Caenorhabditis elegans: one gene and its partner. The protein of the gene in region 1 purifies or fractionates together with the protein of each later gene. This does not show direct contact. Each region holds a gene or a part of one and is shown in the gene's direction. Other genes may lie near its edges.

Evidence for each region. The genes of interacting proteins can lie anywhere in the genome.
Region 2: the proteins of herd-1 (region 1) and car-1 purify together in Caenorhabditis elegans (affinity purification with mass spectrometry, with the first as the bait; one large-scale study listed by BioGRID). This does not show direct contact.

What each region holds. Positions count from the first base shown.
Region 1 is NC_003281.10:12,494,856-12,499,879, forward strand, and holds herd-1 (Edg1 TPR repeats region domain-containing protein), read left to right. Parts: upstream 1-1,682; 5' UTR 1,683-1,688; coding exon 1,689-1,772; intron 1,773-1,816; coding exon 1,817-1,929; intron 1,930-1,978; coding exon 1,979-2,249; intron 2,250-2,296; coding exon 2,297-3,541; intron 3,542-3,613; coding exon 3,614-3,800; intron 3,801-3,857; coding exon 3,858-4,079; intron 4,080-4,132; coding exon 4,133-4,167; 3' UTR 4,168-4,492; downstream 4,493-5,024. Other genes in the region: Y111B2A.1 (Protein kinase domain-containing protein), read right to left, coding at 1-314, 381-461, 511-575, 636-783; Y111B2A.2 (Mitochondrial cytochrome c oxidase subunit VIc/VIIs domain-containing protein), read left to right, coding at 1,233-1,369, 1,415-1,538; sql-1 (GRIP domain-containing protein), read left to right, coding at 4,708-4,833, 4,943-5,024.
Region 2 is NC_003279.8:12,902,963-12,906,598, forward strand, and holds car-1 (Protein LSM14 homolog car-1), read left to right. Parts: upstream 1-1,507; 5' UTR 1,508-1,513; coding exon 1,514-1,759; intron 1,760-1,809; coding exon 1,810-1,999; intron 2,000-2,051; coding exon 2,052-2,495; intron 2,496-2,542; coding exon 2,543-2,685; 3' UTR 2,686-3,078; downstream 3,079-3,636. Other genes in the region: coa-5 (Cytochrome c oxidase assembly factor 5), read right to left, coding at 197-487. UniProt on the Caenorhabditis elegans protein: Transcriptional regulator. Involved in modulating embryonic expression of ATP-dependent chaperone cdc-48.1. May play a role in mRNA gene silencing, and RNA granule (P-body) assembly.

The sequences.
Region 1 (5,024 bases):
GTGGTGAAGGTACACGTGGAAGTGAAGCAGATATTCTCTGGCTTTAAATCCAAATGCACAATTTCCATTTTTTCCAGCTTCTTCATAGCGGACAAAATCTGTGCTCCAATTTCTCGAATCGTTGCAATTGGGAACGAGATTTCCTTGTTCGGCACCTCCGACTTTGTTGAATCCATAACGCTGAATAACGATTTTCCTCTCAATTCCATCAGAATAGCAATTCGGAGATATCCTTCTGGAACTGAAGCCATTTTTCCACTTTTCACGAGTTTGATCAAATTCGGGTGGTGAGCAGCGGCGACAGATTTCATTATCTGTAAATAATTGGGGATTGAAAGCTGAAAAATGGGGGGAAAAAAAATTATAGATTATTTAAATACCTCACTTTCGCGAACCCAGTCTTCGCATCCAAACTGTGTGTGTCCTGCTTTGAAGAGCTTCAGCGCAAATTTCTTCTTCTTCTAAAATATTAGATTTAAAATTTAAAGCACAATTTTAAAACAAAAAAACCTCAGCATCAGCAACCTCAAAAACTGTGCCAAAAACTCCTTCGCCAAGAACCGACACATTTTCAACTGAAAATTCAATTAATTTCTTAAAAAGATAACGTTTTTAAAAGTTTTAAAACAACTTACGATCGGTTCCCCAATTCGTGCGAAATGATTTGTCAGTTGTGCCATGAAAGTCGACAAATCGTCTGAATTCGAGCTTCTCACCACAGCTTGAATAGGCTTTTTTAGCCGGTAAGGAGTGGTGTTGGAGACAGGTGCTCGCACGTTTCATCTGAAATTTTAGGCCAAGTTAGGCAAAATTAGTAGTGAGTCGAATAGGAACAATAGAAATAACAGGTCACATTTGCATTGAATTTGGAATATTTTTAGGTATTTTTTCTCGTAAAATGTAAGAAAATCAATTGAAAAACCAAAGAAAAAGGTTGAAATTTAAATTTCTTATATTAAAAAAAAAAAAAAACTTTTAAGTGCCGGTTACGGTACGCAAGTCCGCAAACACGCTGCATACACTCCACAACTACCGTAGTCCACGGGCGGCCGCATTGCGCAATTGCGTGAATTCATAATCCTAAAAGTTTTTTTTTCATTTTTGTCCTATTTCCTTCAAAGTTTGTTCGTTTTCCATCGATTTTCACCATTTTTTTTGCACGAAATATTTTAAATTATCAATATTCTTGATACAAAAACTTTATTTTTCCTAATAATTCCCGTTTTTCAGCCATGGCTACCCGAAACATGCTCCAATCATATGGAAAACGCGGAATTTACGTTTCACTGGCTGTCGCTGTCGTCTCGACTGCCGCCTTCAACGCATTTTACGTCTGGCCACGTCACAACAAATATGAAGAATTTTTCGCGTCAGTCTGATCCTCGCACAAGTTTGTCTCAACGAAAACTTGCAGAAACTACGATCCGTACACTAGAATGAAGGAGATTTGCGCTGCTAACAAGGGATACATGCATACTTGTCCGAAGGAATTGGCGAAATTGTACGAGGAGAAAGGAAAAGCTGTTGCCGAGCACTAAATTTTCGATGAATTGCTTATAACAAAGCACTATTATGTCTTGTTTTCTTTCATTCTTGATCAGTATTTACATTGTGTTTTATACCACATGCATATCTTCCTTTTTTTAAAACCATTTTGTAACAACGAAAACCTCCCTTTACAGATAATAATGGCTGAGAATAAGAGTTCGAGTGAACTGCCCGATAAGAAGACTCTTGATATGAACAAGGAATGGGTGCAGGAGCTGGAGGCTGTGAGTTTCCAAGTGTTTAACTTATAAATATTTATTTTTTTCAGATTTTCTACAGCTACAGAAACTACGACGTGAGCAAGATCAGAGTTCAACAGTTTTTGGACAGATCATCCAACTTCCTCATCTACGATTTCTACACCTCCAACCTTTCTCTGGAGTATGTGAATAATGTCACCTTCAGTACCCTCATTTATACAAATTTTCAGCGCGACGCAGTATTTCCAAGCAGGAATCACTCAAAAGGACGTCGGACTGAGCAAAGACTACATCCTCCTCATGCGGAAACTCTACAGTATGCTGACGGAGCCGAGCAAGCAGTTCTTCCAGGAGGAATTCGTGAAGGAATGGCAATTTCACGAAATTGATTATACGCCATACTTCGAAACGCTCGTACCCAGATTCAGGGAGAAAGTTGCGAGCCTATTGGATGAAATTTCCAAAAATCCAAAAGAAGTCGACGATGATTTTCAGGAAGAGGTAAAAATATAATTATTTTCGAATCACGGTTCATATCGATATTTCAGCTCCGCTGGCACCTGCTCTACTCACCAGCCACCACTCTTATGGAAATGTTCACTCAATGCCTCAAGAACTTCGACATCGCCGGAATTTGCATAGAAGTGTGCCAAAAAGTGCCACAATTGTTCTTCGATCGTCGGTTGAAAATGTATCACACGGAATACGAAACCGATCGAGTTGAATCACTCATGGCTCTCGTTTTCCGCAGATTGATCCTCAATAAGCGTTGGGTGGATACTAGTAACGAAGAGTGGCGCAATTTGGAACAACTCGCAAGAGTCATATGCTCAGGAAAGGAACCCGCGTTGATGTCCGCATGGGCACTTCTGGATGTGGTGCTTTGCGAACTCTACACAGAGAACAGAATTCCCATGATATCGGTGGAGGTTTTGAGCGAGATTGCTGCAAAAATTGTCGAAAACTTCGATAATTTGGAGTATGCCACGTCGGCGAGATCTAAGCCAGCTGACAAAGTTCTCTTGACTCCCTCGATCATTTGTTTCTTGCTCAACACTATTGATGACGCGAACGTTTCGAATACAGTCATTGAAAACTGTAAAATGATTCTCAAGGCGATTGGTCAATCCATGAAGCAGCCATTCGATGATGAAGCGAAGAGCTACTTGACTTCTGAGGTTTTGAGAAAATTCCCGTGGCCCGTAGAATTCGCATGTTCAACGTGGTTCAAGTCACTGGAAGTTGAGAAGCGACGCATTCCATCAGCGATCTACAAAGCAGTCAATGGAGCAATTGAGGAGACATTCGACGAAAGAAGCGGAATTTTTGGTCAATCGGACAATAAAGGAGACGCAGAACGATGCTCGTCTCCATCATCTCAATCTTCAGTGAAGACGGCGATATCGATTGGCGATAAATCAGGCACCGCTGTTGATAATTTGAAGATGAATGAGCTGAATCTGAGCCCAATGTCAGCAGAAACTGTAGAAGATGAGAAAAGCTGTAAATCCGCGTTGGTCGCAGAGATATTCGAGGAAATCCCACTGGAAACTGATCAAAACATCTCAGTTTTTGAAGATCCACTCGAAGTTCTCACGGAATACCTCGATTATATCATCACGATGGGAGTGTTCGACGTCTCGTGCGCCAACGAGCTCATGTGTCACAGCTCAGTCACGTTTGAATCCACGGAACAGCTGGAGAAAGTTATGAAGAAGGCGTTTGAGGAGAACTTCGAGATCGCAAAAGCCGGCCCACAGCGTATCAGAGAGATTTGTGCGAAGATTTTGGAGGTAATTTTTTTTTGATTTTTCAATAAAATTAATTTCTGAAAATCGGCCATTTCTGAATTTCTATATTTCCAGGTTTTCGCTCCAAGCTCGTCGGAATCGGACCACGACCGTATCGCTTCTTCGCTCATTGAGGTCATTCCAACAGAAAAATATGAGGACACTGGACCAAGATGCACTCAGGATTTAAAGAAATCGGAAATCATTCAGCCTCTGGTCATCATTCCAGACAAAACATCTATGGAACGCTGGCCGCCAACTGGTAGGAAAATGATACTAAATTATCGATTATTTCGTAAATAATTCTGATTTCTTGCAGAATACCGTTATAAACCAAATGAAATCAATGGATCTCGTAACTCTGCACGACATGAACGTGAAGTTCGCAAGCAAGTTGCATTAACCAAATCTTTGGAAATGGCTCAACTTCATCGCAATTTGTGGGCGGAAAGCGAGAGAAATATGGACCACTGGACCCGACCAGCGTCCCCAGGCAATCGTCCATTTTTTGGCGGATCTCGCATGAACTCGTCCACATCAAGTATGTTTTTAAAAGAAAGCCAATATGTTTTGTTTTAATTATAATTTTTGTAGGAGCGCATGGCAGCTCTACGAACGGGTTCCGTTAAGCCGACTGATCGCCCCTGGAATGTTTAAAACGTTCATTTTATTTTTGTTCTTTTGTTTTCAATTTTTCGTTCCTGATTTTTGTTGTAAAATGTATTTCGCATGGTTTTACCCCTTTTTCACTGAGTTGTGGCCCTAAGTCACCGTATTCTTTTTGTTGTTACCCTCGGAATTTTTTAAATAATTACCCTCGGAATTTTTTAAATAATTTTTCCCGATTTTTTCCTAGGAATATGTTAACGTTGAGGTTTCTTCCTCAACGTGAACATTTTAACTCAATGGTGCTCCATGAGGCCATTTCCTTTTCAATGAATTTTTTAAATTAAAAAAAAACGACAAGATTTGGCCTCTGGTATTTATTTAGAAATATGTTCTGAAACTTTTGTGAATATTGTTAGAGTGTGCAATTGCGCGTCAATTCACGTGTTTTCACACACGACACGCGATAGGAGAGAAACCTGAAGAAAAGATCCACTTTTAATGCGATATTTATCCCTTGATTTTATTGATTTTTGAGAAAAAAACGTTGCTTTTTTCCAGTAATGAGCGGATGGTTACGAAATATTCAAGGACAATTAACAGATTTGGCAAATGAAGTGCTAAATGAGGCGAATGATGTGTTGGCAGAGGCCACAGAAGAAGTTCAAGATCCTGATGGAGAGATTATTGTGAGAATTATTAATTTTAAGTTAAAATTGTTAAAAATTGGAAAAATTCAGTTAAAAAACTCGAATTTTAAATAAAAAATCAATTTTTTAAACCAAAAAAAACTTCCAGGTAGCTAAAAAAAAGGCAGCTGAAGCCGAAAAGCAACTTGCAATCGAAACTTCGCGTGTCGAACTTCTTGGAAACGAAAAGA
Region 2 (3,636 bases), on another chromosome or scaffold:
AGGCGAAAAGTTCAATATTTTGCGGGAAATTCCCAAAAGCCGAATCCACAGGCCCAGCTTAGCGATACGATGATAATTCTCAAGTTTTTAACACATTCTTCCTGGAAAATAGATTTATACACGTATTATATTATAGAGAAAGCTGAAATCCTAAAAAGAAAGTAACAAAAAATATGAAAATTTTCGAATTATTCGCTCAAAGATCGCCCTTCCTTCCTCGGAATCTCGATCTCATGTCCACCAGTGATCGCTTGCAGTCGGTGAAATTTTGGAGAACGGCGAAACATTTGTCGGGTACACTTCCGTCGCCACGTGCATCGATGCATTCCTTCGCAGATCGAGCTTGAACTTGCACACAATGCGAGTTTTTGATGCATTTTTTGAGTGCTTGACGTAGACGATCACACGATACACCGGTCTTCTTTATCTCGTTGAATTCGTCTTCTTCAAATTGTTGGGATTGGGAGTGTGCGGTGATTCCGGCCATTTTTCGCGGGAGTTTGCCTGAAAAATCGAATAAAAATTGATTTTAGAAGATATAACTAGTTTTAAACAATAAAATTTAAGTAAATTTCAGTCTTTTTCACAATTTTATCACAAAAAAACGAGAAAATTCAATAAATTCGCACAAAAATTGATTTTATTTCATTTAAATTTTGAAAAATAATTAGTGTCGATTTACGGAGTTGGCACGGTGCCAAGATTTGCAGAATCGTGGCGAGACCCACAAAAACCTATAGCAAAACATGCGCCTTTAAATGGGATTGGGGTGCAGCGCCATTTTAGGATTTTTGTTGTTTTCTTCGCAAAATTGTTGATTTTTCGTTATTTTTTTTGATTTTCTAGGGAAATTTTCAATGTTTTATTGCTAAAATAATTATTTTTGACGTGATGAACTTAAAGTTACAGCTTAGAATCATTAAATTTTGCGAATTTTGATAGAAACTTCCCATTTTTTGTGATTTTCAAGTTTGAGCTTACCTTTTATTTCTTCTGCCGATTTTTAGCTGTTTGAGAAGTTCAATTAGTGAGTTTTCGGTTCTTAATACTCAAAATTATTTTTACTGCAATGGTACGGCCGTGGCTGCGCAGTACCTCATAAAATAAGTGGGCAGACGGATGCAATCACGCTCCATCGGCGCAGAATCGATAACGATGACGGCTTCGCATTTTACTTTTAAACTTTTGCAGCTTTTCCCACTTCTTATAAGAAATTAGGGCTTTAAACTGTCAGTGTTATCCTTGTATATTATCGTTGATGTTCCTCTAAGACTTATTGACACCTCCGTATCGATTTTAGGCCAATTAGGTTAATTTCTAAGGTTTCTCGACACAATTGAGATCGCTTCGACATTTTTCGTAGTATTCCGCAAGATTTTGTTTTAGGATTGATAGAAGCGCACATTTACACGGTTTCAGTTGTTAATTTATTCTCCTATTCCCGACAATATTGCTCTTCGTCTTTCTTCAAACGTTGTGAAACTTAAATTATATTACATTTTTGCAGGTAATAATGTCGAATCAAACACCGTACATCGGAAGCAAGATTAGTCTGATCTCCAAGCTCGACATCCGTTACGAGGGAATCCTCTACACCGTCGACACCAACGACTCTACCATCGCGTTGGCCAAGGTTCGCTCGTTCGGAACCGAGAAGCGTCCAACTGCTAATCCGGTCGCCGCTCGTGATGATGTCTACGAGTACATCATCTTCAAGGCCAGCGACATCAAGGATTTGATCGTTTGTGATACTCCGAAGGCGAGTTGCCGGATAATCGAGCTTCATTGATCTAAATAATGTCTTTTCAGATGGCCAACATTGGAGGAGGGCTTCCATACGATCCAGCCATCATCTCTGTCTCCTCGAGATCAGCCCCAGCAAGTGACGGAGCTCCAGCTGCCTCTGCAGGTTCTTCCAGAGCCGGAACGCCATCCCGTAACAGTCCGTTAGGCCAAATCATCCAAAATCAACGTCCAGGACGTGGAGGTTATCAGCAAAGTCAGTTTTATTTTCTTTCAAATCAACTCTGGATTTATGATCATGTTTTCAGACTTCCAAGCTAACCGTGGATACAACAACTACCGCGGAGGATTCGCTGGCGGATACAACAACCAAAGAGGGCACAACAATTATGGAGTTCCTCGAGTTAATCACCGCGAAAAGCTGAAGTTCGAATCGGACTTTGACTTCGAGAAGGCCAATGAGAAGTTCCAAGAAGTTCTCGTCGACAACCTTGAGAAGCTCAACATTGAGGATAAGGCCGAGCCAGAAGTTGAGGAGAAGAAGGATGCTGCCTTCTACGACAAGAAGACTTCATTCTTTGACAACATCAGCTGTGAATCACTGGAGAAAGCCGAAGGAAAGACTGGACGGCCAGATTGGAAGAAGGAGAGAGAAACGAATCAGGAGACGTTCGGACACAACGCAGTGCGTTCGTTGAACTACCGTCGTGGATTCGGAGGACGAGGACGTGGTGGAAACCGCGGATATGGAGGTATAGTTCCACTTTAGAAGTTACAACGTCTTATGCTCAATTTTCAGGTTACAACAACGGATACCAGCATCAACACCAGCACCGTGGAGGATACAATGGAGGTTATCGTCAGAACAACGGTGGATACCGTCGTGGTGGATATGCTCCACGTGACAACCAAGGCAATACTGCCGCAGCTGCCGAACAATAAGTTCGAATTCCCTGAAATTGTTTTCTCCCCACATCCCCATACCCCGATATTAGCCGTTTGTTAATTTATTATGTAAGTTTATCCATTCTCCCCCCCCCCCCATCAATGATTACCCTTGTCTCTTCTCAACTATTGGCGTGTTATAAGAAACCCGTTAATTATTTAGAAATCTCGTACGATTCAATGCGGGCCTTCTGTTATTTTGTAATAATTATTGCGCACCCACCCACCGACACACATCTCCCATCCAAAAAATTCCCAATGTTTTTTCTTCCCCCACTACAATAGTGATTGGACCCTTCCCCCGTTTTTTTAAGTTCTAGCTTGTGAATTTTAAAGCATGTCGTTCTGTTGTCCTCAGTTTGTCATTTTAATAAAATTGCAGTGACTAAACTGTCAAATCGTTTGCACCTGCTCTCCTATCATCCCACACCCCGCCTTTTATGATTGTCTTCTAGGAGATATGAAATTGTTTTTAAGATCTTCTCTTAGATTTGCTATAATATTGCAAACCCTTCATTCTTAGGTAGACAAGCCCTGAGAAATTGTGATTTCCCCGTATAAACTTTTTGTTTTGTATCATTGCTTCGATGTTTTCTTTCTACAACTTGGAAGCCAGTTGGACATGTAAGGTGTCAAAAAATATTGGTATAAGTTTGCTGTAATTTCAAAAAGTTCGATAGTTGTTCTGGCGACTAAATACGTAAAGAATAGCTAACAAATGTTACTTTATAAAAACTATTCAGCGAAACTGATTGAAGTGAACACATTAAAGAAATAAATTAAACATTAAAAGAGAAAATACATAATAAAATTATTCCTTGGTGATCTCGAACTTCCAGGGGCTAAAGTCGATTTTGACGCTATGCCCTTTGAAGAGACAGCGAATAGTTCCCTTAACTCCTCCATCTCGGGAAATTTCGAATCCAGAGGCATTCGGATCGAAAACTC